Linked DNA regions of Coturnix japonica. The protein of the gene in region 2 interacts with the protein of the main gene of each other region in a pairwise test. Links are inferred from orthologs where the notes say so. Each region holds a gene or a part of one and is shown on either strand. Other genes may lie near its edges. The genes, in order: RBL2, CCND3, CDK6 and CRABP2.

Region 1 (6,789 bases), on a different chromosome or scaffold from region 2:
AGTATGTAATAAAATATTATAAATATATATCAATATTTCCTTTTTTGTAGATCCAACTTGAAACATAAGGTGCAATTGGAGTAGTTGTCCTTACAGATAAGTCAGCGTCTCCCAGTCTCTTCCTCTCTTGCTCAATGATTGCCTCCAAAACCTTGTAGTAGAGCACCTCAGCACGACGGAAATGCTTGCTGGCCACATCTGTAAACACAAATAATATTGTGAACTGCAGTAAAGGTGTCATCATTCATCTTAAACTACAGTGATAAAGCAGCAGCTTATTTGCTTGTGTGGACTCCTGTGCAGCTGTGACAAAAAGGCACCCTTGAGAGAAGAACAATTCTGAGTGCTTTTCTTTCCACCCTCCTGTAAAACATCATAGAAAAATCATCAAGTCCCTATGATTTATGCCAAGTATGATTATGGAAGTTTATATAGGGTTGAAAGTTGCCCTACTGTAAGACTAGCAGGCAAAGAGAGAAGAAATAGAAAAGACTCTTGTGCTAAAGCACAGCCTCTACATAAGGCAGAGTTTACTTGGAAGAGATCAGTGTTTTTAAATACATGTGAATTCCTGTTTATGTAAGTAAAATGTTTCCCACCTTTGGACAAATTACTGAACTCTTCTTCAGTCTGCATGCTCTGACAATACACTTCATACATTTCTTTGACTCTGTTTGCAATAGACTGTGAGGGATCTCTGGAACACGCCCTGAAAATACAAGCTAGTTTAAGTGTTCTATTTCTGCTAAGACAAAACACAAATACACACACACCAAAAAAACCTACAATAGGATTAAAGCATGAAGCTGTAAATTATCTTTGATAGACAGCAATGCAAACACACCCACACGTGCCTTGCTGGAAATGCACTGTGAGACATCCACAGCAAATTCTACTGCAGTGAGCGTCAACTCGTCATAAGAGTTTAATACTAAACAACGTATTCCAATGTGAATTAATAAGAAAAGGCTTGAAAAAATTGCAATGGCAGTTTGCTGTTAGTGAAGCTCCAAATTTGGGTGTTGTTATCACTGTCGATCTCTCAAGGATAAACGTGCAGAAATAAAGACAAGAGCCTTTCTGAAGCTGAATGTCCCTCTGGCTCCTATTTCACTCCAGGCTTCCAACACTTTACCTTTTAAGTTACGCTATTTCACATTTGTTATTATAGTTTCTAACTTTTGTAGCTAAGCATCAAAGTTACCTGAAGATTTGCTCCAGGTTTTCACTGGGGGCATTTTTCAGCCCCGCCAGCATGGTGTGAAGGCGGCTCAAGCTGTACGTTGCTATGGAAATGGGTGTCACATAGGGGTTGCTCTCCTTAATGTACTTGCGGCCAGTGAGGGGGGTCGACATCCGAAGCGATTTAGACTAGAAAGAAAACAAAGCATCTCTCTGTACATTATTACAGCACTCAGACCTTGTAAGAGACTTAAAGTGTCAGGTGCTAGAATTGTTTCTTAGCTGGTTACAATATATATCTATCTATGAAAGGAGAGCTGGAATCAAACAACCCAAACCAGTTCTCTCCCAGTAACAACCATCAGCATCAGGTCTATCTGTGGCTTGGATGCCTGTGTCAAATACTAACACAGAAGTATCTGAGCAGTGACAAAATGACCTCACGCTGAAACGCCACAATTGGACAACTCCTTCTCCACAGGAACATCAAAGGACTGTGCCAGACTCACTCTGTCAAAGTGCTGCTGTAAATTATGCTTCACTTGTACTCGCTCAGCTGTTTCCATTCCTGAGGGTGTATTTAAGCACCGTGTGAGAGTTCCAATTTCTTCATCTGCATCCTCCCCGAGGAATATTCGCTCATCGAGGTTTCCTACTGACAAGACATACTCCTCATAGGCCTTGTTGATGGCTTTGCTACAGGGGAAAAGAGAAAAAAAGCCCTTTAGTTTAGACAGCGCTTTCACTACCTGCTTTCTGACTGAACACACTTCTTGGCCTATCTGAAGGCCTCAGAACTTGCTTTTTCTTCCTAACGCTTTACATCGTATAGAAAAGACCATGGAAACATGAACAAGAGCAGACATCGAGCAATGCTATGCTGAAAAGGCCTCAACCAGCAAAGAGCTGAAATGCCTTTTAATATAATATATAAATAGTAATATATCTATAAATTAACTAGCTAGTATTAGTGATAAGATACAGGTAATAACCCAAAGGGACACAAATGCAGACCAAAGCACAAGCTGACTCACAAGCTGTCTCCAAAGTTTCCAGGATCCAGAAATCCAGTCAGATTTTCATCTTTTCCTTTTAAGAGCTGAAAGAGCAAAGAACGGAGACACGGCAGTCGTTAAAGTTCTGAAGACAACAAGTAGAGAAGCATTTTCTGCATCCTGAATGCACCCACCAACCTTCTTGTCAAAAAGTTTCCGAATGTACGGCTTCCAAAAATGCTCCTTGATGCCTTTTGCTTCTAAAACTAATCCGTAATGTAATGAACACAGCTTTTCAATGATGCAGGGGGGGTCAGATGATGTTTTATAATCCTTACTGTGAAAGTCTTCAGGCAGACCTATAGAGAGACAAAGGAAGTACTGTTTGATTCCGAATAGTCATACCTTAGTGAACTCACATTCTTTGCTATGATGCCCATGTAGCCTGAAATTAAAACAGAAAACTATTTTGTCCCCTCGAAAGAAAAGCTGTACACCCTCAACTGGATAATCTTATCAGAACTGCCTTTCAAGTGACAAACCCAAAGAGCTCAGATATTCAGTGATAAATAGCATCGGTTCTAATAGACAAATGATGAAGCACTTATGAGCTGTAATATTTATTCAAATAAGTTCAGTATTATTTATTCAGTAAATACAATACAATACAACACAGTACTGAAAATGAACCATACCATTCTGCCTACCGCCCACCTTCACATCCATTTCAGCAGCCTCAGAGGTTTGTGCAGATTTTAGATAAAGACTTTTTTTTTCCCAACATACCTTTAAAATTGGGATTCAGAAGTTCTTTGTGGTTGGGGCACTGGAGAGCATTTCCATACACCAGATCCAAAGCACATAACAAGAGATGATAGGAATTGACCAAGTCATCACTGATCATGGGAAAATTACCTTCAAAACAAGAAAGATAAATGAGATTAATTAAAAGCAGCATAGACTTGAAATTATTTCACAAAACAGAACTATCAAGATTTGCATTTCCAATCAACAGTGGAGTATTTTAAGCACAGATTTTGGTGACCGGATTGTCAATATCTGGATCGAAACACAGGGAGTAAAACAGACACAGCTAAAACAAAGCACATATCATTGCGTTTGTTCACCTTTATGTTCAGTTTTCTGATCAGAGTCTATAAATAAGTTCAGCAGATGAGAGCAGCTCTATGGCCACAAGGGTCACTACCTTCCTTTGCAGCATACACCAAGTGCAGGAACAAGACTGACGCTTTCTGACTTGTGAAACCAAACACAAGATGCTGAGGTTTGCAGAAATATCACGGCGACAAGCCTCAACTTGCTGCTGATGTGTGGTTGCCACGCTAAGGATTACTGCCGGCCCTCAAAACACAGCAAACAAATGGGGAATATTCAATTCCTCCAGTGGTGCACATTCACTTCACATTGTTGTACTGCCACACTTCATAAGGTACCACTCGTCACTTATTAATTTTGCAGTTCATAAGTACTGTAATTGTTTGTCTCATAAAATTAATGGGCTGTTATCAACACTGTGTTCCAGTCCACAGAGTTAATCTGTACGTCTGAAACTGTTTGCCAGTCAACACGTACTTAATGATGACCTGCTTACTCAAACATACCAACCAACACTCAGCAGGAACAAGACCTGCCCAGACCCTCTGTGCCTGTTCAGGAGCAACTTGCAGCCTATGAAGCAGCTTCTACACAGGACACAGTTGTTTGGTACAGCATCACACCTTTCTTCACATGCCTGCAAAGATCCAGGGATATTGCCAGTGACTTTTCCCAAATGAAGCCTGCTGGCAGCGCTCTGCTTGGTGGTGAATAGAAAGGCTCAGCTGTACAGGACAGAGCTACTGCCAGAAAGTCCATAGTGAGACAACGTACTGCGTCCTATCCTCAGAAACAACCAGGGAGATACTGCAGGAAGCCTACACTGACTGACCCTGCAATCCCAAGCAGTCCCACAAGCTCTCCTTTCTCATGAAGTTCTTATAATAATAAAACAACTCCCTGGAAATTACAGAAGGACCAGAATACGACCTAACTTACGTTCAAAGGACTCCCAGTGAACCCATCCTGACCGTACCCGAATCAATTCCTACTGTAGATGATGCTGTACAACTGAACAACTTAAGCCAAAAATGCTGGGGAGCTTCACTGCCCCTCATACAAAAGGATTTACTTCCATTCCCTTCTGTCTTTTTCTCCAATCAGTCATTAAAGAAGAAAAATGACTGAAATCCTCTGCTATTCATATCAGCTTTAAGGGTGCTCTTACAATAAAGGCAATACTTGCACGGCAATATACCGGCTCCTCCCTGCTTTGTTTCCAGGGAAGCCTGTTAACAGAGCATTTCACATGTATGATCCAAGGGAATCTGAGTCTTCCAGCCAGGCACTTAGGTGAACAAATCCAAGTGCTACCTGTGAGAGTGCCTCGAAAGTCCCCTCAGCTACAGCCTCATGACACAGTTCTGTGTTACAGAACAGAATCCATTATGTATTATCACTGTTATTTGAAACTTATAAGGAAATTAAAATCATTTTGTTCCTAGGGAACATAAAGCAATAATTTACATTAATTACAACTATCAAAATATGAATTCACTACAACTCTGAGCTGATTTTCTTTTAGTATTACAGCCTAAATCGCCAAAATACAGCAAACCCTGGAGCAGTATTTCAGATAAAGCTACCAGGCTGGCAGGGCACAGTGCTCACCTCCGACAGCTGGGAAAACAAACAGCTGCAGGAATTCAGGTGCATTCGTTCAGACTGCTCCAAGGAGGCACTTTCTTTGAAGGGCCTGCAGCTGGCTCACGGTTACAGACTGATACAGACTAACAAGAAGGGGTTTGTGGTATTCAGCCCCTTTCAGATCTCTTACCTTTCGCATGAACAAACAGCACCCAACAGAACTGGAAAACTTCAGTCACTGTGCACGGCTGTCGCCTTTGGGGGGAAAACACAAGAAGCTCAATGACTTACAATGGACAGACATCCCATCGTTCTCAAAGAGCTGCTTTGCCACAGAGCAGCTAAAATCTGAACTGTATCCCTCCCCCTCAAAAAATAACAAAAGTAAGAACTGGTCTGAAATAATGCAGTAGCTGCTCAGAGCTTCACAGCAGACACAGCTGAAGCCTCAGCCAGCAGCGATTCAAACATCACCAACAAAGCAGCACACATGGGATGCCTTCTGAAGTACTGTGAGCAATGTAAGCACATGTGCACGTCCTGCAAGGCACACGTCACACAGCACACTGGGTTTTATAAGCTGTTTGCTCACAGACCTCACCTACACACTTTGCTGAAGTGTTTTGTGTTTCTGTATAAAATTTTACATACTATGGAGAATTTTGCACTACAGCTGTTTACCAGCACCAGGTTCCTCCACTAGTCCTAACCATGAGGCCCTCCTGTCCATCAGGAGTCCTGTACCCACCCTACCACATACTGAAGTTGAGAATTCTTTCATTCAGGCCAAATTCACTCACAGTGAGGTGTTGTTCTCAATTTCTGCAGTAGTTTTATCAGCCTGCACTCATTTCTTTGGTTACTCCACCAGGTTATGTAAGGAATGGTGTTAAATGTTAAAAGCTTAGACATTTCACATAAGAATTTGGAATGGATAATTCTGACTTAACCTTCAAACTGAGTTCCTGCTCTGCTATGCAAACAGACTAGCAGGGCTCACTCAACTAACTGCAGAACTGTACATGTGCTGTAATGAAGGCCAACAGACCAACTCTGGTACCATAAAGAACCACTAAGGAAGTAAGTTAAAATGCAGATAGAACAACCAAGCAGCTTCTTGTAACAGCAACAGCCGAACATCAGTCTGGACATAACAGAACTGTACCTCTGTTTCCTTCCTCTCTGCTGACGGGGTTGATCTTCCTGAGGGTATCTGAAAATGTCCTGAAAAATGGGCTCGTACTTCTTAAAAATCACTGCAGAAACAGTGAAGTTTCTCTCCAGCCTTTCAGTCCTTTCTCGGAACTGGGAGGGCAGGTTTGCCATGTCTTCCCATTTCTTCATCTTGTTAAAGAACTCAATCAAGCTGAAGACATTGAACAGGTTAGAGCTCAGAGCGTTGGCTTTTGTTTGCTCCTATTCTCACAGAAACACGCTATAAACATACATTTATTTACAGCAAAAGTACAACTAAAACTTTCCAAGCTACCTGTAAAAGCAGCACTGCAAACACGATGATTATAGTTTGAAGTGTTCAGAGCCAGCTCCTCATTTACAAACCAGGAAGAGCTGAGACAATTCAGAGACAACCACCCTACCTGTGTGAGCCACAGCACACAGATCCCCAATGTATAAACTCAATATAACAAATCTATATAACAAATATGTATAACAAATCTAACAAAGACATCCAGACTTCGTTCTTAATTTCTGTGTTCCTCAAGGTGCTTTAAATTGGTTAAACTGAGTTACCTTTGCTCGGAGCAGCGCAAAATTCGGGTCAGTGATACATAATTGCCCTCCACTGTCCCCCTGCTGACGGTGGGGATGGCTTTCCTGCAGGCCACATAGAGGGCACACGCCAACCAGTGCAGCTCGTTGCCCTGCGAAGCAGAACATGATGCATGTC
Region 2 (6,789 bases):
AGAAGCTGATAAGAAGAGAGATCGGCCGAGCTGCCAGCAAACACGCAATGCAACGCGCTCACCTTCCTGCTGCACAGCCCCGTCTGTGCAGGGAACAGCAGCAAAGGGAAAGCCCTGACACCGCCGTGCTCCTTTAAAATACTTTATTGCAACATTACACGGTACTCCAACTTTCCCAGCAGCAGGACTTGCATGTGAACACCACAACAGATTACTCTTAAATTAAAACTCACTCATATATATATATATAAAAAAATCTGTTTGTACAGACGCTCCTCGCAATTCATCGGCGGTGAGAGCACAGCAGCCCCAGCTTTTTCCACCTGATAAACTTGTTTCTGGTGGCACCCAGAGCAGGTTCCCCCCCAGGAGCAGTTCAGCAGCTGCTCTGTGTGCAGGGACACCCCCAGCAGCGGCTCTCTGGCTATTCCTGGTTAATATGAGTCTACAATGTATTGGTTCTCTCTTAGGAAAGCAGCATTATAGAATGGTTTTTTTTTTTCTTTAAAAAACACTTTTTTTTTTTTTTTTCCTTTTTTTCTGTAAAATGAACAGACAGGATCAACAAGAACAACAAAATGCCATCATCACTTTGTCACTTTGCCATCACTTTTCAGCTCAAGTGCGCAGCGAGTTTTCTACCCTGTGAGGACACAACTCGAGCCATTCGGGTACTGATGCAGAACAGCCCCCCCGACACGATGTGATCCCTGCCTTGGAGGAGTGAAGATGCATTTCAGACCATAGCAGCACATTCAGTGATTTTTTTTCTTTTTTTCTTTTTTCTCTAAATCTAAACTGACATCTGAGCTACCTGCAGCCAACCAGCTTCAAGTGAGAGTCTCCCATTGCCCAGGGAGCGAAGGAAGGGGACAGAGGATAAAGGCACTTTAGGAAGGAGAGAAGAGCAGCATCCAGGCCCCACCGCACGGAGCTGCAGCCTTCCTCCCTCCCCTTTTCATAGCACTTAACAATAAATTAAGCAGCCTCAGTGGGGCAGCAGAAAGCCAAAGCACTTTGCATGGGTCAGCGCTGCAGTGTCACGCTGCGCCCACGCGTCTCCCCAGGGATGTCCCCAGGATGAGCACTTCTCTGCCATCCATGCAAAAAAGGGAGAACTTCTCCCAAGCAAAGCCAAGAACCCGCAAATCCCAGACCTAATGGCAACAAGAAACAAGGCACACACGTCTCTCCAAGCAGAAGCAGTCACACTACCCTGCAGCCACAGCCATCCATCGCAGCGCAGACCCAGGACCCACGAGCACCTGCCCTGTGCTCAACAAGGGGGTCGTGGATATTTTGGTCACGTAAGCCAGGTGAGAGCTGGCTGTGCACAACTGGTGGCCCATGCAGAGCTGGGAGTCATTGCAGCAGTAAACACACCTGAGCACAGCAGACATCTGCCATCCAGGCAACAAAGAAAGCAAACAGAAACATTTTACCATTTCCTTTTGGAATCTGCGACCCTCCCCAGCTCTTCTGCAACACCCCCCCCCCCAACAGAAAGACCAGCTCACCCCTGACACCCCCAGCAGCCAGCGAGCAGAGTCCAAGCAGCAGTGAGCCCCACTGCATCACCACAGCCCTCACCCTGGCTCTCCCCTCCCCTTCCCCCCATGGTGCTGGAGGAGGAGAGAAGGATGAGTGTGGAGCTGTCCTCACACAGCCAGCAGGAAGAGTGAATCCCCAAAGCAGGCTTCAGGCACAGGGGCTCTCAGATGGGCTGGGGGGACGCAGTGAGCTCTGGGTGCCCGGGGCTGGGTCCTGCTGTTGTGGGGATGGGCAGCTCTCAGGCAGGGGCAGGCAGTCACAGGTTGATGTCCGTGACATCTGTGGGGGTGCTGGTGGGCTGGCTGGCCGGGTAAGCAGCAGTCTTGGTGGTGCTATATTCCTGTTGACTTTGGGATGCCTGCTTCAGGCTCTCGGCTAGGGCGGCCTCAATCTGCTCCTGACAAGCCTTCAGGCAGTCCTGTGGGAGAAGGGGGGGACAAGAGGCTTCAGTCCTGCTGTTCAGAAGTGAGGACCTTAAAACAGCTCTGAGTGGCTGCTGGATTATACCTCTGGCCCCCAGGCATCGAAGCACAGAGAAGCCCTTTTCCTGCAGGAGACATTTCCAACTTGCCTGTCATTTACACCCCTCCCCAGGAGAAGTCCCACGCTCTGGTTGTCCTCTCCCCACTGAATGCAGCAGTGAGCTCAGCACTGCAGCCAACCCCCACCAAGCTCAGGGGCAGAGCAGAACATCTCTGGGCTGGCCACAACCATCACTCAGGACAGATACACACACAAGTACAGGCCTGGGGACTCAGCTGCCTCCCTCAGGCTCACGGTCTCTTCAAACTCTGCATCTCACTGTGTGTCCCTGCAGCCACTGCTGCTCTTTCCCCTACCCAAATAGGACCAGATCATCCCCACTGGGAGCCTGATGGCACGCACATCACAGCACAACTGGAAGCCAGAACTCACACCTACATACAGCCAGACCCCGATGTGACCAGAGGAGGGAACTCCCCCACCTCACCAAAGCACTGCTGTGACCACCACGAGCCACACCACAGAAGGGCACAGCCTGGCCCTGCTCCCACACGCTGTCACCAAGCAGCACGAGGTGGCATTTTGCACCTCAGGGCCGTAGCCGAGTCGGCTACCACAGGGCTGTGTGTGCTCGGGGATATTGTCACACATCGAAATCTCTTACCAGGAATCCACTGCCGGTTCTTAGAAACTGTCAGAGGATGTGGCTAGCAGAAATAGCAACGCCCACCAACCCCTGCCCTGCGCCGCTTCCAGTAAGCGCAGCCCAACACGCTGCAGCCCAGAGACAGGCAGAGGGGACAGCGCAGGGCACAGCGTGCTGTCATGGAGCTGCCCCCACTTGCCGCCTGTCTGCAGATAGGGACATCCCCAGGGCTTCCTCTGGCTGCAGGGTCTGGGCAGGGGCTGGCTGAGGCTGGAAGGCAGCTGAGCTGTCCCTGACCGTTTTGGCTCCACTCCCTCTGCAGTGTCCCCCCTGCTTCCCACCTGTTCCCTCCACGAACCCCAGCCCACAGCAGGTTTCAGCCCTTGTCCCATTCACCACAGCAGCTTGAAAGCAGCTGGCTGCACTGATTAACTCTTTAAAAAGGCTCCTGCAAACAAAAACATATAAAAAGCTGCACGAATAAAGCAAGACACCCTCCTGCCCCATCCCCTCCCTGTGCACAAAGCCAGGTCACAGCCTCCCATCCGCCAGAGGCACCAGTTCCAAGTCCCAGAACTGCTGTCAGGGGACTGAAACCAATCCCACACCGGCTGCCGGGATTTGTGCTGGGACAGAAGAAAAGATCAAAAGGGGCCCAGGCAGGATAAGAGCTTCCTACGGCTTCAGAGCACCCAGAGTGAGCAGCACACAGGGAGCCTGGTGACACCCCTTCCCCACTCAGAGGGCAGCAGAGGGGCAGGTGGATGCTCCCCACTACCCCGTAACGCTGCATGCCCCCAGCCTGGGTACCTGCAACCAGACACCATGGAGGCAAGCAGATGCCAAGCCCAGCTTCACCCAGTGCCCCAGCCTGCCTGGTCAACCCGATCCCACCGACACCTGTCTGCACAGGGAACAGACGCTCCCTTTTGTGCTGCTTTTCAAAGGCTCTGAGCTCACCTTCTCCGCACAGATGGCACGTGGGGGCCGGGAGCCGCCTGAAGCCATGGGCACATCTAGAAATGCTCTCTGGCCTTTATGCCTTCACCAAACCAGGGCCAGAATCATTACAGACAGGTATTTCCCCTCTCCATTCAAACCAAGCTAAAGAAATGGGAAGGGCCTCCACCTTATCCCACAGCCAAACCTCCCTGCTGCTGCCCAGCTGACACTCACCACCTCTGTGCCAGTGATGCCGGCCAGCAGCTCGGTGACTGCCTCCCCACCAAAGCCATTCACGGAGATGCTCAGGCCGTGCACTGCCGCGCTGATGCTGCCCGTTGCGATCATGGAGGGGGGGTACATGGCAAACGTGTAGTCTAAGACCAGGATGAGGACACATGAGAGAAAAAAAGGAACTGTTAGCTTCTTATTTGTTACTTCTTTCTTGCTGTGTGCAAGCTCTTAAGTTCTTGGGACTGATTTTCATGGGAAACTAGTGAGGGCAGAGCAGAGTCTCCAGCTTAGCAGGGAGAAACAGGAGCAAAGCAATGGAAAACAGGCTGAGCATCACAGCAGCAAGCTTCACCAAGCTATTTCCCTGGGCCTCTCTCACCAAAAGAAGTGCCAAAGGTGACCTTGCTCCACTGACAGAACAAGGCCAACCCAGGCTCACAGTGCAGCTGCCTTTGCTCTCCGTGCTCTCCAGCACATGGCCTGCCACAGGCAGAGGGGTGGCACAGCTGCTCTGCTCCTCCCGCCATCTCCCAGGCACCCACTAAGAGCCCCCGGGACACTTCTCCTACTTTGTCAGGGACAGAGAACAAGCTGCTGAGCAGAAAAGCTCTTCTGCATGAATGAAGGCAGGCACTAAAGGCTGCTCCCCAGCAGCTGTTCCCAGCAGGAACAGGCACCCACCTGTGGCACACAGGGCAATGAAGGTCTGTGCGTGCTTCTTCACCAGCTCCATCTTGTCCTTAGGAAGCGCGAGGTGATAGAGGATGTGAGCCAAGAAATCGTTTGCTATCACTGAGACCAGGTCCCACTTTAACTTCTCCAAGACCAGAATTTCCCAGTCCTGCAGAAAGACAGACAGACGTTAGGGCTAAGTCCGGAAGAGATTCACAGTTCATGGCCAGGTACACACAGAGTCTGGGGAAGGGCCAGTAAAGCAGCACAGCCCTTTAGGCAGGGAGGAAGAGAGGAACGTCCCTGCCCTGTGACTATGGCACAAATCCAGCCATGTGCTGCTGTGAAGGCTGGAGCAAAGATGAGCAGAGGAAGCAACAAATCCGGTTTCTTCTTCCCAAGGTGCAGCCAGATTAACCACCTGCTTTGCAGACATTCCTCTGGGCACTCCTTTGCTTTGCAATGCTGCTGCAACAGTAACAACAGCGGAGCAAGCAGCAGCACACACATCAGTCCTGTGCTCCCTCCCCACTCCTGAAAGGAGCCACCCAGGCTCCCAGGAGCAGCACAGTGTGGGACAAACAGGGACCATCTGGTTGTCACAGCACAGGGAATACAGCAGCCCTGCAAACATGCAGGGGAAGGAAAGCACCACAGCACGGCTCTGTGCTGGGGCTGGGAGAGCTGAGCTGGGATTCCTATCAGGTAACTCCATTTCAGGGCCCGGTCCTGCCCAGCACATTATCTGTTCTTTGTCCAAATAGTCTAAGATTACAAGGTCAGTCTGCCCATAGAAGTACCACAGCTCTGCCAGAACAGATGGATTTGAAGAAGTGAGATTTTTTCATAAGGGCAGATCTCCATTTCCTTCTTTTCTTTTTTTCCCCCTTAACTCACTTTCCCCTCAAAACAACAACACTGGTTTTGAGTTGCTTAAATGAACAGCACTGCTCAACCTGCTCCAAATCCCCCGCCAGGCCCAATGTGCTATTTGCTGCTTCACAGCTTGTGCTTCTCCAACCAGAAAGCACTGCTTTGCTAGAACAGACTCACTGCCTCCCATATGGACAGCCAGCCTGCCAGGCTCGCTGTATTCTTCAGCCAAATCAACAGAGGGAAAGCAAGAAATGCAGCAACAAGATCCAGAACCTGAAGACCACAGCACAGAGCACTCAGGATGCCTGGTTCTGCAGGGAAAAAATCAGGCTTAGATAGGAGATGGCCACCAACTCAACTGAGCAACACAGCGAGGTGACATGAGAAGAGTCACAAAAGAGAAGTGCCATGTGCCTGTCTGCAATGCACAAAAGCAGCTCTCTTCCAGCTAATAAAAAGGTTCAGCTTCTCGAAAGCCTCGTTACAAGAGGCTGATTCTGAGCCCTAGCTGGCACTCAGTGCTGGCTGACAGTGACAGGCACTAAGGGCTGCTACCAGCTCACGGGGGAAGCTGCCCTCTGGCCACACCAGCCTGCTCCTCCTTTCCCTCCTGCTCACTCCTGGGACTCCCCACTCTCAGAGCAGCAGGGCAGAATCTCTGAATCACTTTATCTGTGGAAGAAGCTGAACAAAAGGCTGCAAGAGATAGGGAGGCACGTTTGCGACAGCAGCACCACTCTGTGTAGCAAACATCCTTTTCCTGGCATTTTGTTTTGCACCTAAATGCAACGGTCTCTGCCTAATGAAAGAGAGGAAGATAGTGGAAAATGTTTCCTTTGTTTCTCTTGCCTGTGGAGTCCCACCTCCCTGTGGAAGGGCTGCAAGCTGCCAACATCACTCAGAAAGCATCCCATCAATGGGAATATACCCAGTCCCTGCCCTGCAAGAGCTCCCCACAGTTGGCTCACATCTCTTGGGCTGGAAACCTCACAGCAGCTGGGTTTTCCCTACAAGCTACATCCTAATGAAGAAAGAAAAGGGAAGCAGCATCACTCAGTGTATTCTCTTCTCACTATGGTCCTACTACAGCGAAACAATCTCAGGCTCCTCATCGAGGGGGATCTGAGTCGAGAGCAAAGATGGTTTTACTCCATCTGCAGCTCTGCAAGCTCCAACTCGAAGCGAGTCATAGCAGCTTCTCTCCTCATTATGTAGTGACAGTCACCCTGTAAATCAAGCTCTGCCCTCAGCAACACCCACACATGCGCCATGCCTATGAGAAGGCTGTGTAAACACATCTGGCAGTGCTGCACAAGGAGCAGAGCCCAGCTCCTCTGCAGCAGCCCTGCCTGCAAGAGAAAGGAAGTCGTGCTTGATTTTGTCAC
Region 3 (7,501 bases), on a different chromosome or scaffold from region 2:
CTGCAGCTCTTTTTGCCATACCCTGCCACCAGCTCTTACCTAATTTTTCACCTACTGCAGTAAAAGCAGCCGCGCTGTGAGGCGTGGTGCGAAGATGGAAACAAGGCACTTGGACGGAAGGGACATGAAACAAACCCCCACATAATTAACAAGAAGTAGCACGGAAAAACATGATAAATGTTTTGTTTAAAATTATTCTGTGCTGTTTAGTCACTTCTGCTCTATGGAGAACATGGAAGAACATTCTTCCGCCCCCAGTGCCAGGCATTAGGAACCAGTTTTGGCACCAGGCATTCCTCAGGATTTTAAAGAAGGGAACCTAGGCCCACCACGCCAACACTGGGCTGCAGGAGCTCTGCTGGCCCTGCACTGAGGCTCAACAGCAAAACTATGCAGCTACATCTCTACTAAGCAAGTATCAAGGATTCTCCTTCCCATACTGCTCTTCACATTCAGCACCTCTTCATGCAGATGGCACAGCCCTGGGCTGAGCTCCTTACAGTGCTCAGGGCCGGCCCAAGTCTACCTATTGAGTCCAGCACAGCATGACACAGCTTGTGGCTTCTGCTGCTGCCGTCAGCTGATGCACTGTACCATCACCACGCCTGCCCAGCAGCACAGCTCAAACACAGCTCAACTCTTGGTAGCTTGTCTGAATTTTGACTCATAGAATGACTGTCAGTTTGTACCGAACAACTCATGGACCACACGCCTTTACTCAGAGCTGACGGATCTGATGTGATATTTGCATTGCTCACTCATTGCTCTCAGGCCTGTAACATTCAGAAAATAGACATTCCCTTTACAAAATGTCCGGCTTCAAATATTAGTGTGGCTGTCCCAGTGCTCTGAACACACCACACCTCCTACTCCAGTACTCACACAATGCCTTTGCCATTATTTGTATTTACTAATCTGGCCATGATTTAAGTATTTCCAAATAATCTTTCATTACACGGCTACAATTTCAACCACTCCAAAGTGCTACTTACATCTGCTCTACTGATTAGAAGTGTGCACAACAGAGGTTACTTTTATTTCTCTTGTTTTAGAAGAGATGGTATTTGAAATGGCTCTCACGTTCTGATCTCTGAATTAGAATGCACTTCAAAATATCTTTTACTTCATATGGAAAGATCTCGGTGATAAAATCAAGTTCACAAGCATTCTTTAATCATTCCCAAAGAAGGCTTACAATTTTAAACATACACAAATATCTAAACTTGGGCATCTAAATCCGCATGTCATCTCTGACATTACTAGGCTGGATCTGAGAGATTTTAAGAACTCTCGATTATCTGTATTGCCAAGAAAGGCCTTTGGGTGCACCATTCACCTGATCCATTGACCAAAGACATAACGCTGCCCACACTAACATACCTCCATCTTTGTGGTTTTTGCAACCAAGCAATGTGGCATTACCGGGTGCCTGTCAGAATAATGGTTACTATATTGAGCAAATGGTGGATCTTCCTGATCAGCACTGGCAAAGTGTGAGCTGCAGCCTGCATCCCATCACTTGGATATAGCAAGGAGACCTACAACATCCTATTGCGTCCCACTCCATGAGTAGTACTTCATTAAACATTCTTTGCGTGTTCAGTTTGCTCAGAAATGAGACTGTTCAATCACATTGCCTTGAGATGAAAGAAAACTAACTTATTTCTAGCTATTGGCTTTTGTATTTTAATTATTCCCTTTCCTACCTTTCCTGCTCCACTTACTACCAAAAAAGCCCTCATCTCAGCCCCTAAGACAAACATGGTGACCACAGCTACAAGCCAACCTGACAGCTACCTCTGTCACCACAGCGTCTCTATTCCTCCAGGACCCAGAGAGGCTTGGCACTAATGAAGTATGGAACAACTCCCTTTTACTATGCAATACGTGAGTAAAATAATACAAATAGCAGGAAATATTCCTACTGATGCAGTGTCATCTGCAAGATGATACGCCCTAGGATCTCAAAGCAAAGCTCACTTTTTCAAGTCTATTCAAATAAAGATGCTTGCTAGCCAGTCTCTGCATGGGGAACCTGCCCCAGAACAGAGCTCATTCACTCAGAGCTTACACAACCAACACAACAGCAAGGAAACCTGGAGCCACTGCCACCATGCTGGAAGCAAGGCCTGCATTCATCCTGCTGCACTCTCGGTAGCACCACCAGCACCTCCTGGGGTATTCACCAACAAACAGTACTCACAGGGCCTGTAAAGTTCAGACTTAGGCATCTCCTCCTCTTTAACACAATGATCTGCAAACATTAATAAAAGCATCTAAAGAAGTGGAATGCACATCCCACTAATGCTACAACCATGATCTCTGGGTAATGAATGAGACGTTAAGAATCAGCTGCAGCTGTCAGAGCTAATACCTATGACAAAGGGAGCCCTTGGGTTTTCATTCCCTCTCACGCCTGAGGAAATGGTGTGTATGGGGCTCCTTGCCATCCACCCCAGCACTGCTGTCACACGCCTATGCCTCTGGAGATGGGTGTTTGTGTGTGTGGGAGGCAGCACGGGGATGAGGTGAGCTCTGGCACAGCCCCGCGGCCTGTCGAAACCTCAAACCACACTCCATGTGCATAAAGGAGCTCTCGCTCTTCCCACAAAGCCCATCGGTGAGCCGGCCCTCCACGCGCCCAAACCTGCTTTCCCAGCACATGCAGCACAGAGCAGGCCCCGCTGCCTCACCTGACCACGTTGGGGTGCTCGAAGGTCTCCAGGTGCCTGAGGACGGCCACCTCCCGGATGGTGGACAGCGGCATGCCCTCCTCGCTGGTCTGCACCCGCACCCGCTTCAGCGCCACGAAGCGGCCGCCATTCTTCAGGTCACGGGCCTTGAACACCTTCCCGTAGGCCCCCTCGCCGATCTCAGCCACGCACTCATACTGCTGGTCGGCCAGGTTGGTGCCGTCCTTGTCCATGCTGCCGCCACTCCGCTTCCTCCTGGGATCCAGAGCAGCTCAGGACAGCTCTGCTCTCTGCTCGCTTCTGAAGCCGGCACCTCACTGCGGCTCAGCCACACGCCGCCACCTCTGCCTGAGGGGCAGCAGGAACCCCTCGGCCTCCTGCTCCGCTGCACCGGCCCCACTGAGCCTCCGCTGGCGGTCACCAGAAACGATCATACAGTCTTTGGGAGCATGGTCTGTGCGAAGGCAGATAGATCTGGAGGAGAGACCAAGCAAGAGGGAGCAGTCAGAACATGGTGCCATTGTGCTTTACTTCACTTTGTTACTCTGCGCGGCTTAAAACTGAGAAAATGATGCTAGCACAGCAGAGAGCTGCACGCACAAAGGAAGGTGCAAACCAGAGGCTGCCAGGCAGCGTCACTGCACAGCTGACACAACCTGGGTCACTGCTGCAATGTGCCCAGGCTGCAGCACGGCCAGAGCGACCACATGGTTGGGCTTCCCCCAAGCAATGGGGGTTTTCTGAGAGATGGGCAGAGCGTGACTCTGAGGGACGTGGGTGGTATCCTCCATTAGACGACAGAATCTCTACACTCATGGGACAGTTAAGTATGGCAGGCTCCTCAGGTTCCTTGGTTCCTTGGGCATCAATCACATGGAGCCCCTGAAGCCCATCCCATGCTGTACAGCCAGTACTCACGTGCAAATGGCAGCACTGAGAGGCTCCAGCTTGGAGCTACTCTACCCTGTGCTGTGCATTGCAAGAATACAAGAACGCACGTTCCTGCCTCGTGGAGAACTGCGCGTATATATTCACACATACATGTACCGTAAGATACCAGCATGTTTCTGAGCACCGTTTGCTGGAGCACAGACGCACGGCCCTCAGCAGCCTAATGATCCACTACTAGGACCCGAGCGTGGCTCCCAGCTGACTGCAGCGGGACGGGCGCCGGGTGCGAGCCTCGCTCCGGAGCAGCGGCTGCCCTGCACGGCGTGGGGCTGCGCCACTTCCCCTGCGCCCCGATTCACCCCCACCGCCACGGCACGGCCACGAGCAAACGCCGCTCACAGCGGCACGGCAGCCCTTCCTTTCCTCCTCGCCCATTCATAACCAACGCACCCACACGGTGACCGGGGGCCGCATCCCCCTACACGCCGCTCTAGCAGGAATAGTCCCTGCAGCTCGGCGGGGATCCCCTGACGGCACCTACGGCCGCGGCTCGCGGCTCCCAGCCCCGCCGTTGAAGCGCCCCGAGGCGGCCCCGCTCCCCGTCCCCGCTCCCGTCCCTTTCCCCCCCGCCGTGTGGACACCTGCCCGCGCCCCGCACTCAGCCCCGCGCCCCCGGCCCTGCGGAATGGCGCCCCCCGGCGGCGGGCGGCGCGTCGCGCGTGTGCGTGGCGGCGTCCCGGCGTCCCGGCGTTCCGGCGGGCCTGGCTCCTCGCGGCCGCAGCGCCGCCACCGCCGGCCGCCTTCCCCCGGGGCGTTGTGGAGCCGGGCCCCCCGCTCGACACCGCTCGGCCCCGCACGCGGCGGGGGCACGCTGCGATCCGCCGTCCGCCCGGGGCCTCGCAGGGCCCTCCCCTCCCGCCGCCCCCCGCACGCCGCGCTGACCCCGCTCCGGCCGCGCGTGGGCTCGGGGCCGCGGCCGCACACACACGGGTTCCCCGCGTTACCTGGTGCGCGCCGCGGCCGCCCGATCCGCCGGCGGCTCCCCAAATAACCCGCAGTCCTTTGGGGGGGGGGGGGGTTGGGAGGGAGGGGGTGAGTCCTCCCTAAAACAAACCTCCCATTGAGCGAGGCGGGGTGGAGAGCCGGCCGGGGTCTGCCCCTTCACATGGCGATGTCTCCGGCAGGTCCCGGCCGCCCGGGCCACACAGGTAGCTGCTCCGCCGCCCGGCCGCCCCCGGCCCGCATCCCCTCGGCGCGGGAGGCAGCTCCCGCTCGGCCCCGGCCCGCGCCTCCCACCCTCCCCCCCCCGACCCCCCCTTTCCCCGCCGCCCGGGGAAAAGGAAAATCGCGGCCCCCGGGGAGCAACGACGCCGCCGCAGCAGCAGCAGCAGCAGCAGCGAGCCGCCCGCAGCCCCGCGGCCGCAGCCCGCCCCGGAGCGGCCCCGCTGCCCGCCCGCCCCGCTCCGCTCCGCCGGCCCCGCTCAGCCCCGCTCAGCCCCGGCGGTGGCGGCAGCGCTCGCTGCTTTTCTGTTGTGTTTTTTTTTTTTTCCTCCCCTCTCCCGAAGCCTTTTTCCCTTTCTCTCCCCGCTTTCCCACGCTGGCTGAATGTGACTTGACCCCGTTTCAAAAAAGTTTGACATAGTGCTTCAACATTTCCGCATTCCTCCCCGACTACAAAGGCTGCAGCCGCCTCCTTCTGCTTTCTGTCTCTGCTCTCTGTCTTCACACTCAATGAAATCCTTCATCTGCCCCTGCCAAGCCGCCCGCATACCGCAAGGGTCGCGGCGAGCGGCGCGGCTCGGCGCGGCCCGATCGCCCCGGGGGGTCCCGGCGCTGTGCGGTGCGGGGCGGCAGCGCGACATGCGGGGAGCTGGAAATCACCGCGCCGGGCGATGGGCTTTTTCCTCCCCGGGAAATAACCTCCTTTTTTTTTCCCCTCTCCCCAAAAAATCACTTTGTTTTTTCCCTCACCCCCCCCTCCCCCCCTATTTTTTTTCCCCCTCATAATTCCCCCCCCACCCCCACCCCACTTTTTTTCCCTTCTTTTTTTCCCTCTCCCCCCTTTTCTATTCACACAGCACTCACGCACTTTGGGGAACCACCAAGAAACTCTCGTTTTGCTGAAGTAATCCCCCCAGCTGAAGTAACCCCCTCACCTCCCCGTGTTCCTTATGGCACCTGCAAATCGTACTAAAATGCACCGCAAGAAAAATACGGCAACGCTTCACCCATGTGCTCCATCTCCACGTGGGGAGCCTCATTGGCAGCTCTGTGCCTTCCAACACACGGCACGGCCCAGGGGTGGCTCCGGGGGCAGCCCTTGTCAGGGCTGAACTGGGAGAAAGTGGATCCAGGTCTCCTTCAAATGGGAAATGTGATTTAACGAAGTGAGTTTATAACTCAGAAAGTGTGTGCTGTATGTATGGCATCATACGCTGCGTGATTTCCAGAAACTAAATATTTATATATAGATAGATCTAATACTGTACAAACAAATAGAATTCCTATCAGAAAGAAGCATGTAATTACTCCATCTGGATTTGCAGCGCTACCAACCATCTATACAACCCTATAGCTTGAACAAAGCTTGTGTTCCAAGCTCCAGAACTCAGCACAGCTCCATGTGCCCTTCCCAGTTCCTGGGTGCCTGGGTGAGAAGTGGGGCAGCTCTGCTTTCTCCTGGGGCCAGGAGAGCTGGTCCCACTGAGCAGGCAGGGAGTGCCATGCGGATGTCTGCTGCTGACCATGCGTGCCTTGCAAGAGTTTCATTCGTGCTCACGGCATGTTTTATTTAAAAGCACAGAACTGCAATGACTTCTGATGTGTGTGATTTGTCAGAAGGATGCTGAAGTTCACCTCCCTGTATCAGGGGCTGTACCTGCGGTGGTCCTCCTCTTTAGAAGCATCTGCTGTGTGGGGAAGCCGATAGAGATTGCTGTGAGATGACAGCGCTCCTTCAGTCCAACCACGTGGATTCCCAACACAGAGGAGTGGGACACTCAGCACGGTGTGATGTGATACTAAGATTTCTTCTCAGAATGCTGCCCCTGTTCTTCCCCTTTCCTCCCACCTGAAGGTCAATAATACACCTCTGTGTCCCCAAGGTTTAAAAGAGCCACAGAAAACCCTCAGACTGACCTCAAACCATTTTCTCAGTCTTCTTTACGTGAGACTTGGGGGATTTTGGAAGGAATTTCCAAACACAACTAAATACCCACATGAAACCAAGTGGATACTGCAAAGAATTTGTCAGAGAGGCTGAAATTACTGAAACAAACTGTCAGGATTCTTAGAAAATATCATCGAATGGCCTGGGTTGGAAAGGACCGCAATGATCATTGAGTTCCAACCCCCAGCTATCAAACCTAATGCACTGGTTTTAAAGCTTGAAGTCCAGAGGGTGTTGGAAATAATATGTATTTAGAGACATTATAAATCACCAAAACAATGGGCTTTGAATAAAAGGCTTTCATAGCAACATTTTAAACATGTTTTGCGCTTTGCTTTCCTAAAAGTAACGCAGCTTTTATCGCTATTGGAATGAGTGAGCGCACGTCTTGCATTGTGATGGCAAAGGAGGTTTTTCCATAGAAAAATGAATAAATCTCTAACTTATAACGGAGGATATCTTCTTTTTTCTCAATTTGCACACACATTGAGAAATTGGTGTTTTAAGGAGCTCATTAAATGGCATGAAATGCAGGCAGGATAACATGAGTCACTCATTCTAAAGTTACTTCAACCTAAAGGGCTTTGTTTTGCATTGGGGAAAATATTGGGAACGTTTATCTCCAAAGAAAGAAAGGAGATCTCTCTCTTCATCTCTATTTTCTTTTGGAAAATATGGGTGGTTTTTTTTACTTTCTTTGTTCAATTCCAGTGTTTTTAACACTGGAAAAAAGAGAAACAACTTCTAC
Region 4 (7,554 bases), on a different chromosome or scaffold from region 2:
AGGCCTCCCCATCCCCATCCAGATGTGCACACCCCCCCCCAAATCCAGATGTGCAGCTCCAGCTGTTGGGGCACAACCCCCCCATTAGGGCCCCTGCTGCCATCTCCGCTTTCACCACCGGCTCTGCTGCTTCCCCTCCCGCCCGGGGTTCGGAAGAGAGACAAATTGGAGCCGTCCCCTGGGCGGCTACGGAGAAAGAGGATATTCCTTTGGATCGGAAAACCGTGAGGGCCGAGGGGTTGGAACGCATGGTTTTCATTAAGAGCTGCTCGAGGCGGATCGGTTCTGTTGTAGAATCTCAAGGGATAGAAACGAGTTTGGCTTGAAAAGAGGAGGGGGACGGCAATGCCCACCACCCATCATCGCATGGCCGGGTGAAAGAGGGGTGGGATCGGACTTGGGGGGGGACTGGAACAGCTCCTGGTGCCACCCGGTCCCGTTACAACACGGTGATGTCAGGAGCCGGCAATGGTCCAGATCCCGGTGTGGGGGAAGATTTGGGGCTCATTCCATGAGCGCTACCTGGAGGCAAAGAACTGCTCCATCATCCCCCCATTCCCTCCCCCCCAAAGCTGTAATCCCACCACTCTCCCCCATAGAGGAACCTACAGCATCCCCCCCTCCTTTAACCCCCCCCCTCAACCATCCTTGCGTCACCCCAAAGGCATCTGCAGCCGCTCCCGTCTTCCCAGGGCACATCTTTTGTTTCCCATCCACTCCTGGTAAAGCCCTGCTGCCACTACCGACACACCCAGGGAAGCAGCACAGTAGCCCCTGTGTCTCTCTACCCCTAAAGCTTTCAGCCCTATAACCGAGGTTTGCTGCTTTCCTGTTGGCTTTTCCCCATATAATCAGATTGCCAAGGGCAGGATGCTCATCAGGAGGCACTCAACACCAACGCCGCCTTCTAAAATGGAGAGAGCCAAGTGCTCCCTATACAACAACCCCACACCCACCTTATAGCCGAGGAACCCCCCCTATCTGCCCCCTATCCCCTCCCTTCTCCATCTCATCGCCCACCCTGGGGCCATTAACACAGTATGGGGGCACCATGAGCATCTCCCCATGGCATCAATTGGGATTACCCCACCAGCCCTACACCCCATAGGGGCTCCGGGTGCCCCGTGCTTCCCACGCAGGGATGTGGCACGATGCAGAGCCCGGCACCGCCTCTGCCCCCGGCCCTTTGCGCAACATTGGGGTTGTGGCATAGAGAGGGAACAACGCACGCAAACGGGGCCGGGAGGGATGGGGACAGCGGTGGGGGTCGGAGCTTTATTAGAAACAGGAGAGGGGAAAGGGGGGGTGGGGTTGGGGGGGGGGTGAGGAGACGTTCCCAGGGGTCGGAGCTTCGAGGCACCGCCGAACTGGAGCTGTTGAGTGTTTCCATTCCATTCAACTATTCACAAATAAATACTGGGGAGGGAGGGAGAGCAAGAAGAGCTGCAGGGCTGCAGGGCAGGGTGAGGGTGCAGCACCGGCTGTGAGGTCAAAAACAGTTATAAACCCCCCCCAAAACAAACTTCGAACCCAAAGGATGGGGTGGTCCCCGACACCCTGTTGCTCAGTGCACCCCCATAGTCACAGGGATGGGGGGGGACACGAGGCAGCTACAGGGGGGCAGGGGGACACAGGGCCATGGGAAAAGTGTGGGGTGGGGGGGGGGGGGAATGGAGCCGTTGTGGGGTGATGGTTGGTGGTGTCACTCCGGATGTACACTCTGGTGCAGACAACATCATCGGCTGTCATGGTCTGCAATAAGGAGCAACAGTCATTGCCCATTCCAGGAGCTTCCTCCCACCCCCCCATTTTACCCTCCTCTTTTCCCCCCCCCCCCCACTCACCAAGATGAGCTCCCCATCATTAGTCAGCTCCCTGGACCAGCCCGTCCGGGGTCCCTCACCCTTCAGCAGCCTCTGTTCACACACCATCTTGTTCTCACTTTCCCACTTGGCCAAGCTCTAAAGAGGGGAGACAGCAGAGAGAGCTGGGTTAGGGGGGGAGATGTGAAGCAGCCCCCAGCCCCACCAGGCGATACCATCCATCACCACCTAACAGATGGGGCCCATTTGTCCCCACAGCCAGCAGTTGCCAGGCTCATGTATCACCTGGGGGCAGGGGACACATTTACACAGATTCATGCTCACACGTGTGTGTGTTCACACACACATCACATCCATGCACAAAGGCTGGTGTATCTCAGCCCATAGCCCACCTTGCAGGGCCTCCCATCCACCGTTTGCTCCTCGAACTCCTCCCCGATCCTGAAGCTGATCTCAGTGGTGCGCACTGTGGTCGAGGTCTTGATGTAGAAGCTTTCACCATCCTGCTTGATTTCCACTGCTGGTTTCGAGGCTGCAGCCACCGCGATCTTTCGCAGCATCATATTAACTCCTGCAAGCAGGGGACTGGTGTCAGACTGACCCTTCCCCATATCCTGACTGCCTGGCCTGGTGTGTGACCCATAGAGGGGAGGTTAAGTGTCTCTTGGGACAGTGTTCCAGAGCTTTGCTGAGCCACAGATGCTGCTACTTTACTATGGAATTGGTTGCAGATGGGGATCACGAGGTCGTGCAAACACCCCCCCCCCTCTGCACTCAAGGCTTGATGCCATAAACCCCTGCAGAGAGAACAGCTCAGGGCAGGGGGCACGTGGCTGCCCCCCAACCCCCTCGCCATGACTTGGCAGTGACACAGTTTGGGAGGACCCCGAGCTCTGCAGACAGCACAACATGGAAATGGGGGGGTGGAAGGGTCTATGGGGGGGTTTAATGAACCCCCATCTGCACATCTGGGCCACATCTGGTGCTCGTTACCTTCAGTGTAGGGGGGGGGGGGAGAGTTGTGTGGGCTCCGGATGTGCCTGAGGGTGACTGGGAGGCACATGGGGTGACGGCGGGGACATGGTGCAGGGCTCCTGCCCCACATCTGGGGGCTGAAGGACTAGGGGGGGGGGGTCTCATACCCATCACTGTTCCCCAACAGCCCCCTCCCCTTCTTGTTAACCACAGTGCAGCTGCGGCTTTGTCCCCACTCCCCCAGGGGCTCATCCATCATGCCTTGAGCCCCAGGCTGTCACCCAGGCGGCCCCGCTCCCCAGGGAGCTGCTCTTTGGGGACATTGTTCCCATGGTGTGACCCTCAGGCAGCAGGTCGGCGCTTGGCCAGGACCCCGTTGCCCCCCTCCCCAATTCCATCCAGCTCCACGTAACCCCGGGGAAGGGGGGAGGGTCCCTGCAGACAGAGCAGAGCATCCCTGGAGGAACAAAACCTGCACCAGGAACAGATGCATCCATTTAGGGCTGCTCCCACCCTGATGCTAAATAACACCCCCTGTGTGGGCATGAAGTTAAAGTGCCCCCCCCCCAAAGGCAGTAGGAGCCATGGGGGTAGCACAGTGCTTCCAAAGGAGGGAGGAGGGGGTGTCACCCAGGGCTGAGGGGGAGCCCCATGTGCTGCGTGGGAAAGGCAAAGCCTGCTCTGAGCCCGGCAGATTGATTTTCCTGATGAGGTTTCCCTGCACCGCTTCACCGGGCGGTGATGGAGGGGGGAAAAGAGGGAGGAGGGGGCGAAGAGGGAATGAAATCCAAGAAAGTGATAATTATACTGAAGTATTTGTTACGTATCCCCTAACTTGGAAAATATTCGGCTCCAGCGACTCCTCGGCGGGTGGGGAGGGGTCAGGCAAAGGAGAGCAGTAGGGGGGCTCCAGCCTTGCCTAAAACCTTGAGACCCCCGTGGTGTCTCCATGCTTAGGACCTGCAGTGCTGAGGGGGGGATGGAGAGGGGGAGAAGTGAGGGACAAACTGAGCTCTGCAGGCTGGGGCTGGATTTGGGGGCACCACACTCCATCCCATTGGATGCAATTGGGGTGTGGGGTGCTGGGGGAGGGGGTTAGTGCAGGGAGAGCCTGAGGGTGTGCAGTGCAGAGTTATACCACTGTGGTGGGGAAACTGAGGCAGGCAGAAGGGAGCGAGGAGCTCAGGCTGCAGCTGAGGGGGGTGGGGGGATCCAAGCTGTGCCTCAGTTTCCCCAAGGGGAAAAAGAATGGGGTGGGCTGCGAGATGCAGGGGTAGGGAGCAGAGGGGCTGGGGAGCCCTGGGGGTTCTATATCCAATCCCCGACCCGCGATGCTGGAGGGTTTTGGGGGGCGATAGGAACCGGACTCCCCCCCTCTCCTCACCCATCCATAGGGGCTCGCACTCACCCAACGCCTTCAGCAGCTCTTCGAAGTTCTCGGAGCTTTTCATCTTCCAATTCCCGGAGAAATTGGGCATCGCGGCGAACCGAGGACACAGGGGAAGGGGTGATGGTGCTTGAGAGGAGCAGGTGGTGGAAACACACCGAGGGGCACCGGCACCTCCGCTCCGTTTGTTCCTCCGGTACCGGCACCGCCGCTCTCCCACCCCGCTGCAGCTCAATCGGGCTCCGGCCCCGCGCTGCCGTTTTATGGCCGGGCTCACCCGCTCCGCCCCCGCCCCGTCCCCGCTGCCGGAGGAGCCCCATGCTACTCTCACCTGTGGGGCCGAGCACCGGCACAGCCCGGGGGGGTGGGGAGGGAATTGAGGGTGGGGGGTGAGGAATACGGGCACCCCTCATTCATCCCCATATCTTCCATCGTTCCCCCAAAACTTCCATAATTCTCCAAAATCATCCATCAGCTCCAAAACTTGCAGCATCTCCCTAAAGTTCCAGAGCCTCTCTAAACTTCACACGTCCCCCCCAAAACTGCCCCCATCTCCCCTATTGAGGTCCCTCCCAAACAACCCGCATCTCCCTACATGTTGCCTACATCCCCCCTATAGCTTCATCCCCCTTTATAGCATCATCTCCCCACTCAACCCCAATCTGCCCCCCGAGCTTGCACCTCTCTCAAATCTACATCCCCCCTAAACTACCCACATCCCCCCCAAGCTTCCCACATCCCCCCCCCACTCCAAATCCCTATCACCCTCCTGCTGTCCATATCTCCCCAATACCTCTTGCATCACTTAATCTACCTCCATCCTCTCCACAGCCCCCCCAAGCCCCGCTCTATCCTGAGCCCCCGTGCCCAAAACAGAACCCACTGATCTGTGCTGGGCTGAGGGAAGTTTGCTTTGGCTGCAGGCCTGGGGGGGAAAGCAAGATTAACTGCTAATGTGAGATTAAAGCTCTGATAGATTGGATCTGCTTAGAGCACGATGAATCGTTTGCTGGGGTTTCTATCTGGTGAGATGCCCGAGGAAGGAGTTGTGTGGGGCACATTGTGCCTTGATGCCATCCCATTGTTGCACAATAAATGATGTTTGATCTATTGGCAGCCCTGAAAAGGAAGGAGACAAGATTTTGGGAGTGAAAATAGAGGGTGAATAGATTACTATGCTGTGCTGGACACCTTCAGTCATGTCCATGCTGCCACTATCCCCATTGTATGCAGGAGAGCAGACTGTCCCACAGCACATTTAGGGTGCTGAGGGCACCCATCAGCTGGATATCACAGCCCATATGAACCAACAGTAAAGCTGAGTTCATTGCTTACACATTTAGAAGTGCCTTCCAGCTCCCTCCTATCCCTGAAACCCCTTTTCCTATGAGTTACCTCCCCTCTTCCTGGCCCCGATTTCCTCGCCCCCAAATATCTGGGCTGTGATTTTTTGTGAGCCAAGCCCTGGCTTGCAGCATGCCTCTAATCCCCCGAAGAACAGGATTTGTAACAAAAGGGCTGACATAACCTTACCTACAGCGTTGCCGATGCTCCGTGCATTGGAATCATAGAGAAAGGAACAAACCTCACACTGCACCCACCCTTGCAACCCCCCAGGGCAGAGTTGGAGGGGGTCTAACAGGGGGTCACCTCCACCATCCCTTTCATCCCTGTGTAACAGGATCTATGTCCCCTCCGGCACACAGAGGGGATGAATGATGCTGAACGTTTTACCCCCATATTTGGAGAAAAGAGTGAAAAAAAAAATAAAGAAATGCCACATTTCCAGGAGAACCGGCTGCAGGGGAGCAAGGGTGGGGTGCAAGCAAAGCTGCAGACCCTCACAATGAGCCCTCAGGATGCAACAGGGTAGAACCCCCAGACAGCTCCACATCTGGAAGGAATTGCATGGGGAAGGGTGGGGATAAACCCTCTCTGTTCCCCCCATTCCTGGCCCATGAAGCTCTGGCTCTGGCTACAAACCCGCATGGGGCCACTCATCCCGGGATGGCTGTGTATGGAGATGGGGATTATGCTGGAGCCACGGAGCTCCCACATTCAGCTGCACAGCTCGATCAGCCACTGGAAACAGCTGGCACTGCAATACACCCAGCAAACCGCAGCCATCTGAACACCACTACAGCCCCCCCAGTGCCCCCAGCTGTATGGAGTGACCACAATGATAACCCTGAGCCCCTTGTAGGGTGCACAGCAGCAGCACAGCACCCATGGGACCCCATTGTGAGCCCCCCATCCCCAGGCTGTGACCCCCCAGGAGCTCCATTAAGCATGGGCTCACCCAGCACCATCTGCTGACAAGATGGGGCTGGACTGCCTGGTTCTCATTTCCAGACGTAAAATCTCTTTTTTTTTTCTTTAACGGTCGGCCATTTATAACCCAGATTGTAAACTCCCACCCCACTTTAATTGCTTCCAAACTCAGCCAGACACAAAGGCACCCGGCCTCTCCAGTTCCTCCTCACCTTCCTTTGTGCTCGGGGGCCACAACAGCTTTGTGATGGACACATGTTACATGAGGCACATGCTGCCTGATCCTGTGCCCCTCCACCACTGCATGGCTTGGGCATCCCTCATTGCCACAGTGGATAAAACCTCAGTGTTCATACACAAAATAAAGGGCTCCACTTAAAATTCCCCCCTCAGTCTTTGCTGTCTGGCCCTATCCTTTGCACTAGGGCCCCACTGTCCCCTCCTAATGACCCAGACATCCCCAAACCCAACAGATATTTAATGAGTGTCTCTCTCTCGGCCGCTCTCGTCACGCAGCCAAACATCTGGAGGTTGGGAAGTGCTTTATTCCGGCCACGATTGTCTCTCCCACCCCTTATCCCTGCCTGGGACATGCTGAGAGCTGAGCATAAAGGAATAAACACCCCCAAAAAACACTGGAAAATGTGACGTGCATTCAGAACCGTCGCGTCCAGTTACGCATTGAGATGCACCGGCCAGGCTGGCTGAGCTCCCCATGGTCTGCTCAGCACCGACACCATTCCGGCAGCGCCCACCAGCTGGAGCTGTAGTGATGGAGGAGGTGCACAGGGATAACAGGCTGGGCTGGGCATGTTGGTTTTGGCTGCCCCACTCTTCATGCAGGGAAGGGAGTGAGGGTTGAAGCTCTCTCCTGCTGCCATCCCAGCAGGACTCTGGGTGGGCAGAGCCCATGGCCAAGGGAATAGCAGCAGTAGGGGGCTCAAGGGTAAGATCCAGTTGGTTCCCAGCCCACTCTGTCCAGCAGAGAGGGACAGTGCCAGTGTGTTTTCATCTTACTGTTAAGAAGAAGAGAGCATAACCTAAATTAAGCCCAGCAGGACCCATTTTGTTCCCTAAGTTCCTCTGCTCCTCTAATCC

What was found.
Region 1: the proteins of CCND3 (region 2) and RBL2 interact in a two-hybrid assay, tested with the Homo sapiens proteins (2 studies listed by BioGRID). The link is inferred for Coturnix japonica from reciprocal best matches to the Homo sapiens genes CCND3 and RBL2.
Region 3: the proteins of CCND3 (region 2) and CDK6 interact in binary tests that used the Homo sapiens proteins (3 or more experiments, as listed by UniProt). The link is inferred for Coturnix japonica from reciprocal best matches to the Homo sapiens genes CCND3 and CDK6.
Region 4: the proteins of CCND3 (region 2) and CRABP2 interact in binary tests that used the Homo sapiens proteins (3 or more experiments, as listed by UniProt). The link is inferred for Coturnix japonica from reciprocal best matches to the Homo sapiens genes CCND3 and CRABP2.

What each region holds. Positions count from the first base shown.
Region 1 is NC_029526.1:4,018,255-4,025,043, forward strand, and holds part of RBL2 (retinoblastoma-like protein 2), read right to left. Parts: intron 6,764-6,789; coding exon 6,633-6,763; intron 6,247-6,632; coding exon 6,046-6,246; intron 5,136-6,045; coding exon 5,071-5,135; intron 3,093-5,070; coding exon 2,964-3,092; intron 2,537-2,963; coding exon 2,376-2,536; intron 2,282-2,375; coding exon 2,217-2,281; intron 1,879-2,216; coding exon 1,692-1,878; intron 1,372-1,691; coding exon 1,205-1,371; intron 710-1,204; coding exon 600-709; intron 199-599; coding exon 95-198; intron 1-94. UniProt on the Homo sapiens protein: Key regulator of entry into cell division. Directly involved in heterochromatin formation by maintaining overall chromatin structure and, in particular, that of constitutive heterochromatin by stabilizing histone methylation.
Region 2 is NC_029541.1:4,740,020-4,746,808, forward strand, and holds the end of CCND3 (G1/S-specific cyclin-D3), read right to left. Parts: intron 4,698-6,789; coding exon 4,538-4,697; intron 4,000-4,537; coding exon 3,857-3,999; intron 1,970-3,856; coding exon 1,808-1,969; 3' UTR 129-1,807; downstream 1-128. UniProt on the Homo sapiens protein: Regulatory component of the cyclin D3-CDK4 (DC) complex that phosphorylates and inhibits members of the retinoblastoma (RB) protein family including RB1 and regulates the cell-cycle during G(1)/S transition.
Region 3 is NC_029517.1:20,817,628-20,825,128, forward strand, and holds the start of CDK6 (cyclin-dependent kinase 6), read right to left. Parts: upstream 4,814-7,501; 5' UTR 4,699-4,813; exon of another isoform or gene 4,589-4,698; intron 4,146-4,588; exon of another isoform or gene 4,035-4,145; intron 3,168-4,034; 5' UTR 2,927-3,167; coding exon 2,694-2,926; intron 1-2,693. UniProt on the Homo sapiens protein: Serine/threonine-protein kinase involved in the control of the cell cycle and differentiation; promotes G1/S transition. Phosphorylates pRB/RB1 and NPM1.
Region 4 is NC_029540.1:635,146-642,699, forward strand, and holds CRABP2 (cellular retinoic acid-binding protein 2), read right to left. Parts: upstream 4,713-7,554; 5' UTR 4,277-4,712; coding exon 4,207-4,276; intron 2,395-4,206; coding exon 2,216-2,394; intron 1,962-2,215; coding exon 1,845-1,961; intron 1,753-1,844; coding exon 1,582-1,752; 3' UTR 1,520-1,581; downstream 1-1,519. UniProt on the Homo sapiens protein: Transports retinoic acid to the nucleus. Regulates the access of retinoic acid to the nuclear retinoic acid receptors.